2 linked regions of the Caenorhabditis elegans genome follow. The protein of the gene in region 2 interacts with the protein of the main gene of each other region in a pairwise test. Each region holds a gene or a part of one and is shown on either strand. Other genes may lie near its edges.

What was found. The genes of interacting proteins can lie anywhere in the genome.
Region 1: the proteins of gex-3 (region 2) and meg-3 interact in a two-hybrid assay, tested with the Caenorhabditis elegans proteins (one large-scale study listed by BioGRID).

Annotation. Positions count from the first base shown.
Region 1 is NC_003284.9:1,985,374-1,996,456, reverse strand, and holds meg-3 (uncharacterized protein), read left to right. Parts: upstream 1-6,849; 5' UTR 6,850-6,851; coding exon 6,852-6,909; intron 6,910-6,954; coding exon 6,955-8,476; intron 8,477-8,522; coding exon 8,523-8,633; intron 8,634-8,679; coding exon 8,680-8,826; intron 8,827-8,874; coding exon 8,875-9,009; intron 9,010-9,140; coding exon 9,141-9,430; intron 9,431-9,478; coding exon 9,479-9,804; 3' UTR 9,805-9,988; downstream 9,989-11,083. Other genes in the region: Y40A1A.2 (F-box domain-containing protein), read right to left, coding at 5,410-5,464, 5,511-5,587, 5,640-5,723.
Region 2 is NC_003282.8:12,397,676-12,408,758, reverse strand, and holds gex-3 (Membrane-associated protein gex-3), read right to left. Parts: upstream 4,329-11,083; 5' UTR 4,325-4,328; coding exon 4,213-4,324; intron 4,163-4,212; coding exon 4,062-4,162; intron 4,016-4,061; coding exon 3,866-4,015; intron 3,796-3,865; coding exon 3,424-3,795; intron 3,375-3,423; coding exon 3,326-3,374; intron 3,270-3,325; coding exon 3,056-3,269; intron 3,004-3,055; coding exon 2,694-3,003; intron 2,644-2,693; coding exon 1,902-2,643; intron 1,844-1,901; coding exon 1,619-1,843; intron 1,568-1,618; coding exon 746-1,567; intron 697-745; coding exon 584-696; intron 535-583; coding exon 319-534; 3' UTR 69-318; downstream 1-68. Other genes in the region: acs-20 (long-chain-fatty-acid--CoA ligase), read left to right, coding at 10,117-10,205. UniProt on the Caenorhabditis elegans protein: Rac effector required for tissue morphogenesis, cell migrations and egg laying. May play a role in egg laying and in yolk protein clatherin-mediated endocytosis by oocytes during oogenesis.

The sequences.
Region 1 (11,083 bases), on a different chromosome or scaffold from region 2:
AGACCATTAAAATGTGTTTTTTTTTTGCAAGTGTTGTGAGCTAATTAGAAATGGTTTTTGTAGCGTGATGAGGGAAGGTAGCAGTAGATAGTATAAACGGAAGATAATGGTACCTCATTATCTGTTTATGATTGTTAAATATAGTGTTTTAATACATGTATTTATTAATTAAATAGGCCGGATGGAGAGAGAGGATATAGGTCGCCTCTCACTCGCCAGCTGATGTATAGAATGAATATATTGAAGGGGTAGAACACTAAGAGGGCAGGCCAGATGAGTGACCTCTATTACACAAAGACAGATGGGAAATGCGATAATAATAGAGGGATAGTAAACAATAGAACTGAACTATACGTTCACAATAGCATAGTCCGAAGAAATCTTTTCACTGAGACTAAATAATTAAATAACTAAATAATTTTATTTTCAGGCGGCTACTTCCAAAAGCTTTCGGGACTTCTTGATCGTCAGTGGTTCGAGAACTTTGAGTGGAGAGATGCTCCGGAGCTGTTTGGTCAGATGAAAAGCCGAGCTTTAGCATTTGTGAACAGTCGTATCTTGGCTTGGGGACTCGATTCACTTGTTCACTCGAAAAAGACGTCTCGATATGAGGAATATTGTCGATGGAAGGAGTTGATCGAGCATGATGATGTTCATGCGATAAAAGATGGCGCATGGTTTAGTCCATTGATGAAATACGAGAGAAAGCTGAGAGAAAGAGAGGATGAACTATTTGCCAGTTTCATTCATTGAAATATCTACATTGTGTTTGTCAGTTATGAATCCAATTTTTAAGTGAATAATTCAACCCAAGTGGACAAACCGACGATTTTCCGTATGTACATATTTATTTTGGAAGGTATTGATTTTCGGTTTCCAATCTTTGAAATTGCTTTATTTCGTGTTATTTTTCAATGTTTATTCCATGTTCAGAGAATGAAAAGTTTCACTTTATTAGCTGTTTAATCCATCGCCAACTGTTTGCTGAAGATAATGTTTTTTGGAGTTTGATGACTGGATATTTGACGAAAAAAAATTATTCCAGATTTGAGAATAGTAGCAATTGATAAACGTTTACCACCAAGCAGTGTACAGGGTGGCCCATAATTATGGACCACCCTGTATGTTAGGAAATGCCAAAAGAATCTCTACCAATATGAATTTTAATTTTAAACTGCTTGAAAAAAAAACCGAACTGCGCTGGAGTTTTATCAATTTTTATATTTTTCTTTCAAGTTTTGTGCTTTACATATATATTCCCAGAAGCTTTTTTACCACTTCAGCAACGCGATGACTGTTCATATTTTTGATTGAAGCCCCAGGTTTTTAACAGCAAACAATTTTGAATTTTTTTGCGCAACAAAACTCAGCTCAAAATTCTGCTCCTAGAAATATATGGGTTATCCACTTTAATTGCACTCTTTTAATGCACAACTTGCACTATTCTACGCCGCTGGCGCGTTGCCATGGCGACATACCAACACCAGTGATTTTAACTTACCGCCCATTTTTAAAAAATCATTTTGTTTAATAATTTTCTGTGGCATTATTCATAATACTTTTGTAGATTCTGCATATTTTTCAAACTTTCACTGAAGTCTTTTTGAAACATGATCAATCCGGATGGCCAATTGGAAAGGTCACTCTACTCGTATATATACAAAACTTACAAAACGCACTAGAAACTCAACAGAAAAACATCTAATGAGATTGAAATGATAAACTCGCGACGTGAATAGTCAACTTTAACAGAATTTATTAAAAAAGTTGCAAACTTTTCTTTTCAAACACTTATTTATGATTAATTCACGCCTTGATGATTTTTAAAAAGTTTTCGATGAGTTTTCAGCAGTTTCATGTTTTCCTATCATGCTCAGAAGACTTGTGATTCAAGCTCATTTTAGTGAAAAACTATAATTTGCTAAATTCAGCTGCAATTTGGAATTTTGCCAATTGTTCCATGGTCATTATGGCTTTTTCTCAATTTTCGATGAGTTTTCAGCATTTTTATGCGCACATATTATGGTTAGAAGAATTTAGGTTCGAAAGTTACCGCGATTCGGCGCAGACGCATTATGCGCCACCCTGATGAGCTTTGACCTTTCGATACTTAATTGCTTATTGGTCGCGGTGTTAAAATGGGCCTGTGGTGTAGTGGTTAACACACTGGTCTTGTGAGTCGGATTTCATCTCCCGGCTTCAAGTTCAAAGCCAGAGACGTCGGTTCGAATCCTTCCGGGTCCAATTTTTGTTTTGTTTTTTTTTGTTTTGAAAAATAAACTTCTTAATACAAGCATTTAGAACTATTTGGTGTATTGGTTAAGCTGTGTTCTGCACATAAGACCTGGGTTCGATCCCCCCAGAGTGCGATATTTTTTATTGTTTACTTGGTGCCATTTTTAATAGTCTTGATGATTTTTGACATGCGACATACATAGGTCTCGCCTCCCCTAGGTGCAACACGGTAAGTTTTGTGTTCGAAGCACCCAGAAGTGTATCTCAAACGACGCGTTTGATAAAAGGAAAAAATAATGCAAACTTTAAGAACTTTCAAATAAAAATCAGTTTTGGACCACTGCGACGTGGAATAATTGGCAAAATTTCAAATTGCAGCTGAATTTAGCAAATTATAGTTTTGCACTAAAATGAGTTTGAACCACAAGTCTTCTGAGCATAATATGAGAGCATGAATATGCTGAAAACTTATCGAAAACTTTTTAAAAATCATCAAGACTATCAAGAAAATCAAGAAAAATGGCATCAAGTAAACAATAAAAAATATCGCACTCTGGGGGGATCGAACCCAGGTCTTATGTGCAGAACACAGCTTGACCAATACACCAAATAGTTATAAATGCTTGTATTAAGAAGTTTATTTTTCAAAACAAAAAAACAAAACAAAAATTGGACCCGGAAGGATTCGAACCGACGTCTCTGGCTTTGAACTTGAAGCCGGGAGATGAAATCCGACTCACAAGACCAGTGTGTTAACCACTACACCACAGGCCCATTTTAACACGGCGACCAATTAGCAATTAAGTATCGAAAGGTCAAAGGCCACCAGGCGTGGCGTGTAATGCTTCGCGCAGAAACACTGTAACTATTGAACCAGAGAAAGTGAATTAATCATAAATAAATGTTTGAAAAGAAGAGTTTGCAACTTTTTTAATAAATTCTGTTAAAGTTGACTATTCACGTCGCGAGTTTATCATTTCAATCTCATTAGATGTTTTTCTGTTGAGTTTCTGGTGCGTTTTGTAAGTTTTGTATATATACGAGTAGAGTGACCTTTCCAATTGGCCATCCGGATTGATCATGTTTCAAAAAGACTTCAGTGAAAGTTTGAAAAATATGCAGAATCTACAAAAGTTCTATGAATAATGCCACAGAAAATTATTAAACAAAATGATTTTTAAAAAATGGGCGGTAAGTTAAAACTGCTTTTTCTGAATCATGTGTGTCTCGGAACGATTGTACAATAGCTAAAAATTGTCAAAAAGTTAATTTTTTCCATCCATAATTTATTTAACAATTTTTAGTATTAAAACAAAAAATTTTCATCAAGGTTTAAAAAAAATTGGTACATTAAAAACGGAGTTTGAGGAGGGGAGTGGGGCAGGATATGAGGGAGAGGGGGACTGTGATTGCTACAAATTTTGGATGTCATTTTGATGTACTATTTTGAGGCGTTAAGCTTGTTAGGTAATTGTGTAGTAGCTATAATTAACATCACCGAAATGAAAAAGATTTTAGGTCAAATCTACGACACAGATATTGTTTTTATATATACTTCAGTTTTTCCAAACAATAAAATCAAAAGAGCGATTGAACAGCAGGAGTGTTGCTACTGTTCCGTTGTTGCTCACGATATCTCTTCCACTTTCACAGTCTAATCGTTCGATTTCATTGCTGAAAATTGAATACGACGTGTGGTATTTATTAGGTAGTAGTCTGGATATATTTTCATATCCCATTGCTTTGCAAAACCTTTTTCAATTCAGTATTAAAAGATGGAAAATGGACTATTGAAAACAAAATTGCTTTAAAAATTTGTTTTAAAAAATCACAAAGCTTTTTTTCCAGATGTCAGAAATTTTACATGGAGTATTTTTGTGAAATACTAAAGGAATTACAAGCCGGATTAAATGTTTGAAAAAAGGCCAAATTATGTGTGACTGAAATCCCTAAGTTCGCCATTTTGTGGTAGTAAAAAATTAAGCACAATAAAAAAATCAAATAACTTACCAATAGATTTTAGGTCGACGTTTCGGATGCCATGTATAGTTTTTAATACCTTTCAGGATTTTTTCATACATAATGGGACTCATTCTGCTGTGCAACCGTAGTCTTCGGAGGTTCGGCAATTTTCCATTTAACCAATACAATACTATGTTGTTTAGATCCAATTCTTTGATTGAATGTACACATAATCTGATCACTTCACAATTCATTGATCTTAAATCTTGTAGTGTGATATTTTTGGCGTGGTAAAATTCTATCTCAGGAACATTGTAGATCTGAAATGAAATATGATTATAAGTAATTGGGATTTTTTGCAACTTCCTTACCAACTCTTTATTTTCGAAAAAGCATTGAATGTTAAGTTTTTGTTTCAACTCAATCATTGTCGTCAACTCGTTCATATTACTGGTTGATAAATTTTCATTTGGACCACCAAAAATTTCCACACATTTGCATTTATTGAACATTGGATGACTTAGTGTTGGCCGATAATCGCCGAATAACTTCTCATGGCTGATCAGTAAATCGAGGTTTTCAACAAAAAAATAATTGGTCAATAGAATTCAAAATTTCGATCAACTGATTCGGTTGGTCGTAGCTCATTGTATTGAATTTTTTAAATTTCGAATAGTCACTGAAAAAATTACAGTTTTATATGGCGATGCATGAGAATTGTTTCAGTAGAGTTTTATTTACTTGGGGTTTATATTAATTGAAGATTAAAAAACGATCTCGACTTAAGTGCTATGCACTGCGGAACTGAGAGTCAGGTACACTGCCTGGTCATCACTACCGACTGAGCAACCCCTCCGGTCTAAAATTTTTGAACTACCGTGAAATGTTAAAACATGGTTAGGTAAAAACTTTTTGAAAGTTTTCAAATGTTTAAGGTCATTCAGACTAAACAAATCACACATGTTTGAGAAAAAACTAGCAGAAAAATCAAAAAATTACCAAAACGTAGAGATGCAAAAGTTGGTAATGCTGATTGAAAAAAGGTTTGGATATCTTAAAGTCAGTAGTTTACCAGACTTAAAAGGATAATACATGTCTTCTGAAGTCTCTATAGCAATCACTTTGCTTGAAAATAAATCACTAGGATTTCGGAATGGTGGTAGATCAACATGGAAAACACGGTTGTCGATAAGAAGTTTGTAGATTTTTCGATTAATTTTTTTTAAATCTACATCTGGTTTCACCAGAATTTTTTGATAGTTCTATTCTGAAAACAATAGACATTTAGATAATTAAAACCTACTTCAACTCACACTTCAGTCAACTTCAATTGATGTATAATATTCCGAAATGCAGGATACGGTAAACCAAGTAGGTGAAAGGGTTGAATCTAAAAAATCAATAAAATTAAACGAAAAACTGTAAAATACATATGTTCTTGCCTTGTTTGACGGGGTCCTGATACCTCGACGTTTAAAAAATCTCAGACAAATAAATGAGGAGAGTTGTGAAATAAAGGAGCTCATACCAAATGGTAACTCAAATATGTAATCGAAAAAAAAAAACACTGAGCAGACTAACGGAGCAGGCGAGCGTCTAAATGGTATAATCGATACATAGAAAGTGGTTATAAATCCTCCAAGTGTGTGACATCATACATTGTGCACAATGTAGCAGTAGCTATAGTAGCAGGAAATTAGTAACATTAGATCTATCCTGTTTGAAAGCATCAATGTCGATGAGTTGTTTTTTAAATTAAAAAACCATCGAGAATAATTTGAAAAATAAAATATGAATAATCTGAAGTCCCAAGGAATACCAAATTTCTACTTGAAGATTCTCAGTTTTTGTAACTTTTTAGAAGTCTTCGATCAAAAAAAATCCTTTGAATAGACATTTTTTCATATTTTTATGAATTAATAATGTTAAGAATCCTTATTAGTTTGGGATATCCAAACATTTTTTAAAATTTATGTTAAAAAACAAAAGATTTCAATGTTCTATATAAAGCAGTTTTTATTACTTTCCAGGTACTTAGTATTCCTATATTAAAATAATTTTAAAAAATTTCAAAACTCTGCACAAATCCGTTTTTGGAGCTATTTTAACGACCCTTTACATCTCGTTTTCAGGAATTCAGGATTATGTTCCGCCGTTTCTTTTAAAAAGTTTGAGATAAAAAATTATTTTAGTTTTGATTTTTCGCTTACAGGTTTTCTAATTAACATCTCCTTTACTGCCTATTATCCTGTTTCTTTTTATAAATTTATTCTTCTCATTTATTATTCAGTGATTATCCAATATTTTAGAGAATTAACTATCAATCCAATTGTTCCTCAAAACTCCATAGTCTTGGATAGTCTTGAAAACTGATCGATACCATGCAAACGGTGTGTGTTGTTTTGTTGATTCCCTGCCGCATTTGAACTATTTTTTCACCGCGCGCACGCATCGCCCCTGTCCGTCTCGCCACACACTATTTCCGCGCGCTCTTTCTCTACCTCTCACACTCTCTCAATCTCCCTAACTCAAGTGTTCATTCTTGTTGCGTGGTCCCACCGGTTTGCATTTTTTCATCTCTGTCTTTCTTTTTCGTTGTATTTTTTTAAATTTCATTTATTTCAATATTTCATTAAGTTTTGATTTTTGCAGGTATGAGTTCCTCAAAACCTTACCCAAGCGGTCTGCCAAACTCGAGAAGAAAAAGAGGAGGTGAGAGTTTTTTGCATCAATTTTTCATTCAATTTGTAAATTCAGGTCGCCGCTCAAGTAGTCGTAGCAATCAGGAAAGTGCATCCAACAACATGGAACACCAAATCACTCTTGACGAATTGTTCAATCCGATCGCAAAACAAGACAGTGCTCAGTCAACAAGCCGTGAATATGGTGCAAAATCGGGGATATCTCATCACGGATCCGTATCATTCAACGGGAATACATTCATGAATGGCCAACAGCTGAATCACTCGATGACTCGACATGGTCGAGTATTCAATCAGTCGATGCATGCAGCTCAAGGAAACGGCAGCAACGCCTTTAACAGTATTCCTCCTACGGCCCCCGTCTTCTCTGCAGACTTCCGCCGCAACTTGCAAACACGCAATAGCTCCAGCTGGTATGAACGAAGATTCCCAGTATCCACAGATCAGGACGACGTTCAGCAATCAAACACAAGACGTAGTAGAAGTCGTCAGAATGGACAACATGGCCTAAGCTTCTCGGATGGTTCGAACAATTATGGTCACGCTGGGAATAAGTCATTCAGTGTGAGTTCCGTTCCCGTTGGGTTCCAGAAGCAAGAAAATAATTCTAAGAAACTGCGACAAACCAATGTTCACCAGCAATGTCTTGGAAATAAAAGCTTCAACGCTCAAGCTGGAGTTCATGGACACGCTTTTAAAAAAGGCCATAAGGACAATAAAAATGCATCTGGAAAGGAGGTTATCAATTCTAGTCTTGTCCAAAAGCACGATGCTATTAAGTCGCGGAATTTGAACCAGAGCTTCTCTGGATTTCCTACACATGAAACCTCATCGATGAAAAATCAACAACAGAAATCAAGAAACGACAGAAAAAAATCACGTGGTAGCAGCAACTTCCAGGATCGTACTTACTTCAACACAAATGACGATGAATTAACTGACGATGTGTTCATAGACGATTCCATGGATGCTGCCCGTGGTCGGAGATCTCGATCAGTCACTAAGAAACTTCAACAATCGACTTATTCAAAGCAGAATGCAGGCAGTAAACAATTGACTGAAAAATGCAAATCTTCTGAAGAAGCGGCTAAACGTAACCTGGTATCCAATGTATTCAGCAAGGACGGCACTGAACTCTCCATTGAACAGTTATTGGAAATTGTCAGCATGAAGATCGGACAACAGATTCACTTGCCTTCCAGCTCTCATGGAGAATGCAGCAATTTGAATCGGACATTACCAGCAAGTGATCTAAATTGCTCAATTGGTGAAGACTTTGACTCCAGTTTTGTGGATGCTAACAACCAAACCCTACCAGTGAGTCTTCCCAAGAAAACTTCACTGTCGATCAAGCGCCGTGGAAGTTCTCGTAGTGCCTCCCGTCTGGCCAGTCTTGATGTGACACTGGAAACTGTTGAAGAAGACGAGGAACCCACGCCAAGTCCACAGCCGAGTTCTCCTCCAAAGATCTCAAGAAGAAAGTGGACAGGAACTTTTGATGCCAACGTTGAGGAAATGAGACGTTTACTTCATGGGGACCCTGAGATGCCGAAATCTGCAAATCGTGCTTCCTCAAGGTATGTAGTGAAATAGTAAAATCTTTAGTAAAAATTTAAATTTCAGCAAGGATCAGATCAATCGGAACAATGTGGATGTAAAGAGAACACCTTCCTCGTCAATCATCCCAACTCCAAAGGCTTTGATCGGAGAAAGATGTCTGACATCATCCAGCAAGTTAGTTTTACACTTGGAGCTTCTTATTTCATTATATTTTTTACAGGTCTTCAAAGTTGAACAAGTCACTTGGCGTGGTTGATTCTAAAGCTACAAAATCACCAATGTATTCCGTCACAGTTTCTGGAAAAGAAACAGCTTCAGGAAAGCGAATTGCTCAAAAGTTGACTCCAAAGGTTGTGGCGCTGGAAAGGTATGACTTTACAAAAAACGAACAACATTTCCATATTTTCTTTTCCAGCTCTTACATTACCGGAATTCCAGTTTCCACGGATTGTAATGGTTGCCCAACTCCGAAGAGAAGTGGAATCAATTGTGAAATTCGTGCAGCTGAAGTATACAATCAAGCTGGGAAATGGCCCTTCGAAATCACCAGGTAAGGTCCAAGTTAATAAATCCGCTATCGATCAAGCATATGGAAAATAATGTACAAGCTGAAAAGATTGAGCTCAAAACTTGATTCAAATCCTGTAAAATTATTTTCTGAGTACAGTAAATTTCTTTCAGTGATCCGGCTCCACTTCCTTGTGAATCAGCCGATCGGATCGAATATCCTTCTCAAGATTGCACTCAAGATCCAGCTTCAACCTCGCCACCACCTCGCATTTCTGAAAGCTTGACAGCATTCCTGGAAGCTCAGCAAGACTTTAACGACTACATTGATACTAACTACAAAGAAAAGACACAACTCCTGAAAGTGAATTTGAATATTCACGGGATGTCACCTGAAAGATGGCTGTACTTGAATTATTTTTGCACCGAGACAATTCCAAGATTGGATGGTCCTTATGCCGATGGTAAGAAAGATAAGACATATTTAATCTTGAAAACTTTAATTTTTTCAGATCCAAGAGTTCCACCTGTGCGAAATATGTTCAGAAAATGGTTCCTCCGTTTTGCTGAAGCCTGCTTAGGAAATCCTCACCAGCTTGCAGTTATGCAAGAGATTGCTGCCACGTTTGTTCAGGCTCGGCTGGACGATACGAGCAGCTCCACAGACTCCACCAATATGCTCTACATGTTGTGGAAGGAGTGTATCGGACAGAAGAATATCATCGCAATTGCTGATGCGTGTTTACTTGCACATCTTCGGAAATCGGATCCTATCAAATACTTGAATGTAAAACGGGATTGGCTGGAATCTATTTTTGACCCACCCAGAGATCAATGATTGTACCAATTTATATCTATTACTTGTAGACTATATTGTATGTTATTCTTGTTCATTAACCCTTTATCCACTCTTGTTATATTTCAACTCGCTTCTCCTTGTGAATTTGTATTATGTCTACCCAGATACTTGTAGAGGGTAGTATTATATTGTTGTCTGGATGATTGATAAAGAATTGCCGATTCTTTAAGATTTGGAGTGGAACTAGAATAAAAGAAAAGTTCGAAATAGATTTAAGAAAAGATGATTGGTAACTGATTTGAAAATATACATATCTTCTCATAGATCTTTTTTGTGAAATTTAAATACTGTCATTAGGCAAAATAGTAGTCACGGATTCAATTTTAAAACAGATGCTTCAGATTTGTTTGGAAAAGTTCCGTTTTTTAATACAGGGTGGGCCATAATTATGCGCACTACTTTGAAGCTTCATAAAACCAAAACAAAAAACACATTAAACAAATAATCATATAGGTTTTGTTCTCCGAGAAAAACTAAATAAGATACCATTTTTGAATTCGAAAATATCACCGTCCGCATTGCTACAGGCCTTCACAAGTTTCGGAAACGCACCAACGATGGCGGACAAGTAGGCACGCTTCAGGGTTTTTCATGTTTTTCTCGGAGGACTCATTAGTTATCAAGTAAAATTTAAAGTTCAAAGAATGCTCTTGATTCAGAGATGCTTCACACAAAAAATCTAAAAGATTGATATTGTTAGGTGACAGTGGCAGCTGATTGAGTATCGAGTACTGTGAAATTCAGTCAAGGCCTAAACGAAGCTTGTGCGCGGAAGCACTGACATGCTAAGAAAATCATATTTGTGTTTTTAGTTATTATTTTTACCCAAGGTTTCATATTTTCTTACGAATTTGCTCATAGATGATTTTGCGGATCGGTGTGTCTCGTGGAACAGAAAAAAGTGATGCGAACTAATGGGACGGTCTTTAAAACACACACTATTATCCATCATTATATCCATCAGTGTTGGCGCATAACCACTTTTGCTGATTCAAAACATACGTAACTGGTTCACAGCTACTTAAACTTCATATTAATGCTGAAAATCAAAATTTTTTGGAATATTGGCCGGTGGTACAGGCTCTCCGCCAAAACACCACTTTGGTAGAGGGGTGCTTCAGATTGTCGTGGTTGTGGAGAGTGCATCTTGTTGAGAAACATATTAAATTTTATGTCAAATGGAAGATAATCATCCCGGCAACCAGAATAAATTAAAAAATTTGAGACATGACGTGGCAGTCGCGTAAAAAACTACAGT
Region 2 (11,083 bases):
GCTAATTCTCGTTTTTTTAACTTAAAATTTAATCGCATTTATGTAATAGATAAAATAAAAATTTTTGATAAATTGATAAAAAGTTTATTATGACGACAAACTGCAATAAATTAAAGCCAAATGGAAGGCAAAATGAGTACTTGGGAGCAATGATTCACACGAAAATGCAGGGAATAATAGTCAAAAAGGCGGTATTCGGAAGCGGGAACCCGTATAGTAATGGTTCGTTGAAGAAAGAAAAATAAAATAAATAAAATACAGGCACAGGAAGTATGTGAGAAGGGATCGTAGCTGTACATATTGGGATCGCAGATAAAATTATTGAGCATCAGCCTCGTAGCATTGTTGGTAGGCTGTACGGACGAGATTATATGGGAAACAGGTTTCAAGAACATCCATCGACAGCCAACGGTTTTTCCGAACCATCTGTTCAAGGATAATGTAGAGAGTTGTGTGGGAACGAAGAACGTCGTCGGATATTTGTCGACTGTTATCACGTTCATGAATAGTTCGTAGAATACCCGAGGACGCGAGCTGAAAATTTTTCTAGGTGAGAATATGTGTTAATAATGATAGAGCTAACCGCCAAGAACTCCTTCATCCTCGACTGGATATCATTTTGCTCGTGGAGATGGAAAAGAGCTGATCCGATAGTGTTAATCGCCATTGGAACACAGTGACTATTGTTCAAGCTGGCTGAAATTGTTTATTTTTAATTTTTGCAAAAAGCTGTAAAAGTATGTACCTTGAATGCTAGGCTTGTAAGACGAAAGATCCGACATTCCAATTCGTGGAATACAGATAGCGACGGCAACCATCAATAGACAACTATTAACATAGTGTTCTTGAGGGTGAATATTCGGATTTTGAGCACGAACCGCATTCACCAACGACATATCAACTGGTCCTGTGACTCCCATCGCAGCTGACATTTCTCCAATTTTAACTTTATCAACATCGTCCAAATTGTGATAAAGCATATCAAATGATGCTTGAAGAAATGGCAATTTAGATTCGACGATATGACGAAGAGCATCGTGGAGAGCATCACGAAACAGACAAATCTGTCCGATAATAATAGTTCTTTGCAGAATTGCATCAGCTGCGCATGTTGCGTTCGGAGTTTTCTTGTCCTTTGGTTCGACGCTCAAAAGATTTAAAACATCCTTCATCTTTTCAGCATTATCGAAATTAGATCTAGCAATCTGTAGAGCATCTTTGTATGTTGCAACAATCTTGCTCATCTCCATAATTTGACTGGCCACGTGCCAAATCAGCCGTTCAGTCATCAACTTTACTCCATAAGGTCCGATAATTTGAACCAATGCTCTCAATTCTTGAGGATCTGAATAATGATCGGGCATGAACGAGAGTTGTTCCTGTCCTGATGATAACATTGTTCGTAGATGCTCACTCCAAACCATATGACCAGATGAAGCACGACGGAGCAAAACTTCGAGATACCATTTCGTGTAGAGTGCTGCGATTGTGTCTTTATTCTTGGAATCAACGAGTTGAGTTTGTTGTAGAAGAGTTGTTTGCATTGTATTACTGATATCCACAGAAACTGAAATTCCATTTATGAGAATATTTATAGATTATTTTAAAAACCACTTACTTGCTGTATCAAGATTTTGAAGAACCGTCATGTAGGCTTGTAGCGCAAGGAGCATTTCACTTGGTCTTTTTGGATTACTTGCATGTGGTTGACCTTCCCAGAACATTCCATGAAGCAATTCTACAAATTTAGTTTCAAGGGACTGCGCTAGGTACGTCCTCGGTGCAAATGTGTGATCAGCAACGTAAATTTGACGATGAGCTCCGAGAGCTGCAGAGATTTCAACTGAAAAGTGGGAAATTTGTGATATAAAATCTAATTTAAAAAACGTTTTAAAACTTACGAAGAGTTGTTTGCAACTTATCAGGCATTGTTAATGCTTGACGATCAACTCGATAACTTTCTTCTCCAGCAATGAAATAATCTCGAGCGGCTGCTGCGGCCGCCGCTGCAGCTTTTCCAGATCCTTTCTGTTGAACAACTTGAGCAACAACTCTTACAGCCACGGCGCTCGGTGTCATTTGATAAGCTAATCCGAATTCATGTTCAGCCACTTTTTCCAGGATATATGACAATTGTTTGCACGTCTCTTCAATTACAGAATTGCATTGAGCCAAGGCTTTTTCAGTGATAAATGCTTTTTCTTCAGGACACATGTCATGGAGGGCGCTTGTGAAATGCGCGGCAAGACGTGCAAAACTGAGCACATATCGAGCTTGAGCAGGTAGCTGGAGACAGTTGAGCCAATGTTTTTCAGCGAGTTTTGGATAGAAGCAGTATAATGATAAATCACTTGTTTCCCTTAGCATCTCGTCTTGCAAATCGATCATTTTCAGATGAAAAACTGAAGTATTCATGTATATTGCGAGTTTTTTATGTCTTGAAAGTTGGAAATGGCTCCGAGCAGCAGATGTCCAAGCTTGAAATCTAAACCAGTCTAGTCGAAGAGCACGAAGATCCGTATCAGAGTTGATATTTCCTATTTCGTTGGCAAAATCGGTCAAAAGAACCGCTTCTTCCTGGGTGAGGCCATTTGCTTGGTTAATCTCTTCAGAAACAACAATTGAATCATAGCTAGACACGTACTGAAAATAAAAAAGATTTAAAATAGATAAATTTAAAGTTTTAACAAAACCTGTAGATAGTATCTTTGAATCACTGCATAATATTTCGTAACGAGATCTCTTAATTCCAGCATATAAAATAGCAGTTCTGGAAGTTGCCTGTCAACAAGCTCCTCGACCATTCTGCTGCCTTTTTTGCTGATAGCAGGAACTTCAACTTGATGCCGTAGAAGCCATATGACCTCATCTCTTCCTGCTCCAAGAGCCATCCAGACATAGAGAATTTTCGGGCCAAGTAGTCCGGGCTGATCTCGTAGTAAAAGTGACAGCTCTCGAAGAGAACTTCTAAGGAAGCGGCGACGGTCTGCGTGGACGGCAACTCTGAAATACAAATTATTAGAAAACGCTTTGTTTATCATATTTTTTAACTTACGCAGTAACAGATGCATGATTGAACGCATCTTTAACATCTTGTAACCGTTTGCTTTTTTCTTTGGAAGATTCTAAAAACGCTTGAATCTCTTGATGAACAATAAATGTTTCGTCTCGGAAAACGCGAAGACACAGATTCATTTGAAGTGCCAGCTGCCACATGTGCCTAATGTTGTCATCGTTAAGAAGAGTTGAATGGCATACTGTTCCGCAGACTGAAAATATTACAATTTTAATAAACATTTTAATACTAATTTGTATATTAACTTACACACAATCCATCGATCAATGACGTCGAGTGATAGATATTCGCATGCAATCTGAAACGATTTACATAAATAATTTTCCATTAAATAAAAACTTGCTCACAGTTTCTGTTTGAGCAGCATATAAAATTTGTGCTGGAGCAGCGGTCAACGAGAAAACATTTGATGTTCTCCATGAATCTGCTGTCTTGTTTCTGCGCTGATATGTGTGTGTAACAGAAGAAAGAGCTGAATAAATTAGCCTGTTCAGTGGTCCGAGATCTTCATGAAGCTTTTTTAACGGATTTTCATAATCAAGAATCATTTGTCCTAATCTTGGAAATGATGCTTCACTTTGTCCGTGTTGTAGATCATATGCCGCATTAAAAAGTCCAAGAACAGCTTTCCGGTCTTCAATTCTTGATAAAAGAATCATCATTGTGACGAGATGTACAACAAGATTCAAATAACTCGTTGTCAGGTCGTAATTGAGCGTCTAAAAAATAAAATTTTAGCTTAAACATTATACGAACGATATAAATATTTAAAATCAATAATATACTCACCACATCCAGCTGACATTGACATGATTCCATAGTTGTCAAAACTTGCATAATGTGATCTTTTAAATCAAGAATATCAGCAAATGTGTAGTAATATAGCGATAAAGATTTTGTAATTTCCGTGGACTTTTCTTGTACATATTCGAACGTCGACTGAAATTAATTTCGGCATGAGAAATCAACAATTTGAACTACTCACTGAATTCGATCTGCAATCAACAACAGGAAACTTTCTAACTATATGTTTGATTGCACCTTCCATCTTCTTGTCGCTAAGAAATTGTGGTTTCACTTTTGAATCTGAAATCTTCAGCATTTTATAACAACAGAAATTTTCAAAGACTACTCACCGCCGCTTGATTTCTTAATATTGTATATCCGTGTCATCATTCCAGCAGCACGATCATTCAGTATCACAAGTTTTTCAGCAATTTTCACCTGTCTGGCATCTTTGTAAGCCATTTTGCTGAAAATTGGAGAGAAAATTGAAGGGGAAATGAGTCACAAATTGGATTACAGTTTAAAGGCGCATTCAATTAAACAAGAGGTGTCTCTCACCACGGCTGTGCAAGCATGCTCTATTGCGCTCTTTTGTTGGCGGCAGTTTGAACGAGAGAGGGAGACCGTTATAAAAAATGTAGACCACGAAAAATCTAGACCACGAAAATATTTAAAAAAGCTATTTTCAGACAGATTTTCAGGTTTTTACAAAAGAAGTTTATTTAATGGGGAATAAACTTCTTGTTTTATTGCAATTTGTCACCGCAGAATATGATCTAGATCACCGTGAATGGCACTGACGAGGTTCAAGAACTGGAAAAACGAACAAAAAAAAATATTTGGAATGTTTGGAAAAAAAAAACATAAAATCAAACTGAAGAACTATTCACCAAATATGTTGCTTTTATGAACTTTCAAGCTTTTTGTGAACTTTTGTGTCGACTTTTCTTAAAAATCATATTTTTCCAAATTATTTCCCCACTTTATGTATAGTGATTGTTTAGTGAGAAGAACAAAAATTCCTTGTAAATCCCTAAATACAGACAGACAGTTTCACATCCAATTACGAAATATTTCATTTGATATTTCCAAATATTTCCAATTTATATCTCTTCGTCCCTCCGTGGCAGCTTAGTTCATCAAACCTTTCCACCGTCGATTCGAATCGGCTTTCTTATCAGGTCAAATGCTATAGATAGCTGGTCTCTCTCCCTCTCTCTCTCTCTATCTCTCTCTCTCTGATAGTCCGAAGAAATTCTCACATCGTTTACAATAGCGAACAACACCGAAATGGCTGTAGATGGAGGAGAAGAAGAAGAAGCATGAGACCAGCAAGGATCGGGAAACTGTGAAAGAGAGAAACGGGTTTGACGAAAGGCCGGACGGATGGTTAGCCTCTCTTTCTCTCCCTCTTTCCCGGGAGGCCTTCCTTTCATTCAAATGTTTCCATCGCTTTTCGTTGAATACTTCCACTCACTTTTGTTACTTCTACACATTTTTCTTCATTTCATATCTTTTTATGAAACTTTTTGGATTCAAAGTTTTCACTTGTTCGTTTCATTTAACTTGCAAAAAAAACAACTATCTTCATCTTAAATCTGTCAGAAAAGGTGCGAAGTCATCGCATTCATACAGCTTCTCCATCTTCTACAGCTCGCCTCATTCAATCTATTCACTGTGTCAAACGTGTTTCTAGTTTCCATATGTCTATACAACTTTTATCTCTTCCGTTCTCTGTAATACAATTATTTTCTGTTCTTTTGAATCGTTTTACACACATTGCGTAATACCGATCGAACAGTTTCTATCGGGTCCTGGCACGCGCGGAATTTTTCAACTACCGTACCTCTTTGATTGTTTCGTTAGTTGAAATGTTTCGATCGTGACAAGACTCAAGTTGGTGATTTTAAATTAAAATTCAAAGTTTTTGATTTAAGTATTTAATAGCATAAACTTTGACAATGCTGCACTGATTTTCCAAATTAGGCTCCGCCCATATCTTGGCTCTTTTGAAATTTTACATTGCATTTTCTCGTACTTTACTTCTACATAGTCTACGAACACAGAATAGATACCTAAAATAAACTCAAAAATTCCATACTTTTTGAAACTGTGCATGGCAAGCTTTTGACCTAAAAGCTTATATCTCATAGTCAGACATTTCAGATGCTATCCAGGATTCGTCAACTAATAAGATATTCATCTTAAAAGTTTCCAATTTTCTTAGTTCAAGACTTTTTGATAACTCTAAAGTCTTACTAGATATAAATATAATTCTAAAACTTTTGCAATTTTCTATATTTCGTTACAGCCCAAATATTCTCAAAACATAATTATTCCAAATGTTGACTTGTAATTTGATCTAAACAAAAGAACTTATTCAAATCCAAACATCAGTTTTTCGTGTTTCTTTGGCAAATAAATTTGCAAAACCCGGAAAGGGAAAGCAGTTCAGTTCCCACCTGGAACAGGTCTTTCATTGAAAGACCTGACTGAACATGTCTTTGAAATTCATAAACAAAATGATTTGGTGATAAAATAATGATGGCAAGCGGAAGGAGAAGATTCGAATGTGGTGGTGTTAATGCCTACAGGCATAGGTTTAGGCGGCCTGCGCCTATAGGTCTATAGGCGCACAGGCAGGCACCGATTATGTGTGTTGCAAATGTCCTCGTTTCTCGTTGTTGTGTCGAAGCTTTTAAATAAAATATTATACAGAAAAATAGATAAATACTTGTTCTTTTAAAAAAATTAAATTTCTTTTGTTTGAAAATTTCGATAAAATTGCTTAAAATTTCCTCAAAGTCGAAATGGTAGCATTACAACTTTGAGTAAGTTTTTGAGAAGAATCTTGAAACATTCAAATATAGGAATACAAAATTATTTTCAGAAAACACACATATTTTTCTGTATGTTATGTAAGTTTCCGCTTTGAAACTTTAAGAAAATAATTGGAAAAGCGGGAAGTGTGTCTTTTCTGGCAGACATCGCTTTGATTATAAATGGATCTTTGTTTTCTTAATATTAAATTTTGCAGCTTTATACTTTCACTTTCACCACCTTCTTATCATTTATTGTAAATGCCATATGCTATGCTTATACTCTAAAATCATCTTCCTTCTCTAAACAATCCAGTTTTTGTTTCATCTCATTTTCTTCTAATCATATCGAAAGTATCATTCGATCTATTTTTCTATTCTCCAACTGCTTCGAATCCTTTCCTTCTGAAAGGGAGACGCTTTTCCCATTGACCTACTAATTGTCTAAGCTCTCCTCAATCCACGTACTGTTTCATCCCTACGACGGAACGGTCGTTTGAGAATTCAAAAGTTATGAGAGGTTTATCCGCCTCATTTCATCGTTTTGTACTTTCTCGTAACTGGTTTCAAATGAGCTGGAAATAGGGGAACATTTATGGCAGTTGATTCAATATATGGTACCGAATGGTAGGCAAGCACTTGCCCACTTGCCTACCGCCTATTTCCGCATTTTGGCAAGAAATCTGGCTATGAGAGCACAGTGTAGATATACAAAATCACTCAGTACAATGCAACTGTTGAAAGTCCAATTTAAAACAATTGTCGTGGGCACTTAGGCAGCAGATACGCCTGTAGGCAGGCAGGAGGCAGGCATGATTCTCCTACGTAGATTAAGGACAACTAGAGAAAAAGTCGAAAGCACGCGGTAAATGTGAAAAAGATAAACAAGTTAGATAAGTGTTGCCAATTAAAACAAGGTTTTCTCAACTTTTCAAGTCAGCTGAACCACTTTGAAAATCGATTTGAAGACAAAGCGACAATTGGGTGAGTTAACTCATGAGTTTCTCATTTTTCTGAATCTCCGAAGGTTTCAGATGAACTCGTGCCTATATATTTATGATTTGGGTAAAAATTCGATGGCTAGTATTTCCATAATGCAGACCTTCTAATTTCAACCAGTGTTCTCACTTTTTTAAAAATAGCATCCCCACGTTCCATTTTTGTACTAATCAATACACTTAAAAAACAATGAGCTATCAAAGTAGATCAGAAAGTTCAACTCTTGCAGTAGGCACCAACCTTTGATGTAGATCTTTATTTCATTTTAAATTCTCATTCCATTCAACCTATTCAACTAAATCTCCTGCCAATTTTCTTCCGTTCTGCTCTCAATCCGTCACCAAATTTCCTTTCTCTTTCTTATTCCACACAGTTTTCTTTCTTGATTTCATTCTCAATTCTTTTAAAAAGTGGAGTGATGAGATTCTTTTGACACCTTGCCTCTTTTCACTTTTCACCCTACTGCCCTCATATGCAAATCGGTGTTGGTCCTTGTTTAATTCGGTCAGTTTTTAGGTGCGCTTAATCGTTTTGCAGTGTTAATACAGTAGGCAGACGTGCCTGCCTCACACCTATTTTTTGCATTCTTGATTAAATTTTACATGCAAAAAATTTGTTTAAAAAATCATACTTTATTTCACAAAATTCAGTGAAAATTTATTTTGTTTAGAAAATTGACCAAAAGTTTTTTTCTCCAAAAATAAAATCACTGAATTTTGAATATTTAACCAAACAGGTTTTAAGGTAGGCTTGCCTTGAAGACAGACATTTTTGCGACTACTTTGACAGTTTTCAAATTGACATTTCAGACAATTTTCATGGTTTTCAGATATAACGTTTTTTAAATCTTATCATTTGCTTATCAGTAGGGGGTTCTCCCAAGGTTATCAGCGAACATTATTGATAATCATGTTTTTTTTTTGATGATTAAAGTGAACTTTTCGATTACCTGATCATCACCGTATCTTAAACAGTTTCAAGTGCCTGTTTGTGTCACTGTTCAGGTGTCCAAATATTGCATATACGTCTGCCGTCTACAATTTTTTAATGTTTCGTTTTCACGCCAAGCTTGTCATGTGTAACGACTGCGCAACACGATCCCCCAGCCATCACTAGACGCTTATCCATTCGTGTAAACTCCACACGAAAGAAGAATATGTTGGCAAGACGATTTTTTTTTTCATAACACAATAATATTCTATGAACTTTTTTATTTTAGAATGCAATTAAGATTGTATTCCTGCAAATTTAATTTCAGTATCATAACTTTAAACTTTGAATAGGAGGCAGTGTAACAATATACTTGCACCAACTGCCCTAGTTTGACAACTTTTATCTTGGTTCTCTTTGGTTGTATTAAAGAATTTTCAACTAACAAAATACGTGTAAAATATTTTTCTATATTTTGGCTCTTGAACATTTTTTGATAAATGTACACACAGCCCAGATATAAGCCGTCAAAGTACTGCCAAAATTTAGCAATCGATCCTTAAACGGCGTTTTTCGGCAGAGAAGGACGGGGCTGTGAGCTTTTTCGCTGATTCTTTTTGCATTTAGCATTCGAAATATTCATCAATGTCCCATTTATATAGCTTTAAATAAAAGTTGAACCACGTCGTACGCTTATAAACTCCGCCAGCCTCTGCGGAACAAAAAAGACCAAGGATCGATTGATAAATTTCGAGAGTAGTGAAGGTGCATATCTAATAGAAAAATACGGTATTCTTGGCAGCATACTGTTATATTACGCTTGAAAGTTTATGAGTAGACAAAAACTGAATCTTAAATCTAATTGAGATTCAGAGCCTAAACCAGGCAGTCCGTTCGGTTAAGGCGTGATTGCGGGCGCCTTCACCTGCCTCCTCACCAGCCTCACCTGCCCCTCTCGCCTCATATGTAATATATGATTTGCTATACATTTATATGTTCTTATCACTCCGAACAGAATATTAAATAGTAATTATTATTTTCTTTTGAATCAAAATGCTCAATTAAAAACGTGATGATCTTTGTTGAATTCCCGCGTAGTACATATATTCTGATTCGTGTCTGTATCCATTTCCAACGATTACATCCCTCATATTTTCATTCTCTTTCTCATCAGTCATCTTTCTTTATATGCCCACCACCATATCTTTCTACTTCTTCGTTTTCTTTTCCATCAGCTAGAAGCAGTCTGCTGCCCTCCCCTTCATACCGGTCCGATTCATGACTTCTCATTGCCTCACGACGCCTTTTTTGTTCTGTTTTTGTTTCTTTCCTCTTTTCTCACCGTCATCTTTTCTTTTTTTTTCTTGATTCGAGCGCCCGCCACCACCATATACCAATTCACCCATTTCCGAATTCCTTGTTTTCATGATCAAATCTTTCAGAAACATCTTCCCACCACCTTCACCTATCATTTGAACCAAAAATCTATTGTTTCGACGGGTTGTCATGACGGATCGAGCTAACTGCTCAACTTCAACATCAAACTGGCGGAAACCGAAACCTCTTGCCACAGATGTTCTTGAGAAACCGGCCAGGTAAGGGGAGACTACAAGGCTATTTCGTACTTTGGAATTCGGAAAGATAAACGATCAAACAGCAGAAGCTTGCCGAATCTAGCGAATTTCGATTATCAAATTTTGCAAGTCAATTTCAGCGTAGATTCCAGCTTTTTAGAGCAAAATTAAACTATCGTCTATAGAAAGTCACAAAAATCAAATTGCATGTAATTATTTTTTCTGGGGACACGTAAAGCTCTTTGAACTCCAAACGGAACTTTGACTCTGAAAAGTTCAAAATTTAAATTTACTAATTTTTGAACAACTTCTCTAGTTAATTTTTGAAAAAAAACTGCGGTAAGTAATACCTAAAAAGCTTTGAATAATTTTGATTGAAAAAACTTGGCATTATATTTTTGCAGTTGACAGATTTTTCCGGTTTTTTAACCTTTTTAGGCAGGAATCAAATATTAAAAAAAAATTTCTGTTCATTTTTGGGATTATTTTATTGAATTTTAAAGTTTTAATTTAAAGCATATTTTAGAAGAGTTATGTTTCAACTGAATCTATGCTCAGGCGGCCCCACCACGAAACGTCTAAAATTACAGTAGTCTTTGCGGTGGGACCCAATTTTATTGGTAAAATAGGTCATGCTTTTACTCAAATTGAAGCTCTCGTTAGGCTGAAAAAAAAACGGTTTTTTTTTTCAAAAATTGAACAATATTTTCAGCTTAATCAAAAATAGTTTGTCTACAGAACTATAGCATATAGATTCAACCTATATTTTACCAGTTGCCAGTTTTTTGATAGAACCAAATGCAACCTAGTTATCAATTTTCTAAATTTTTTAGCTATTTTGAGTTTGCCATGTTTATTTTAAAACAAATCTTGTTAGACTATAGTCATCGCGTACAACG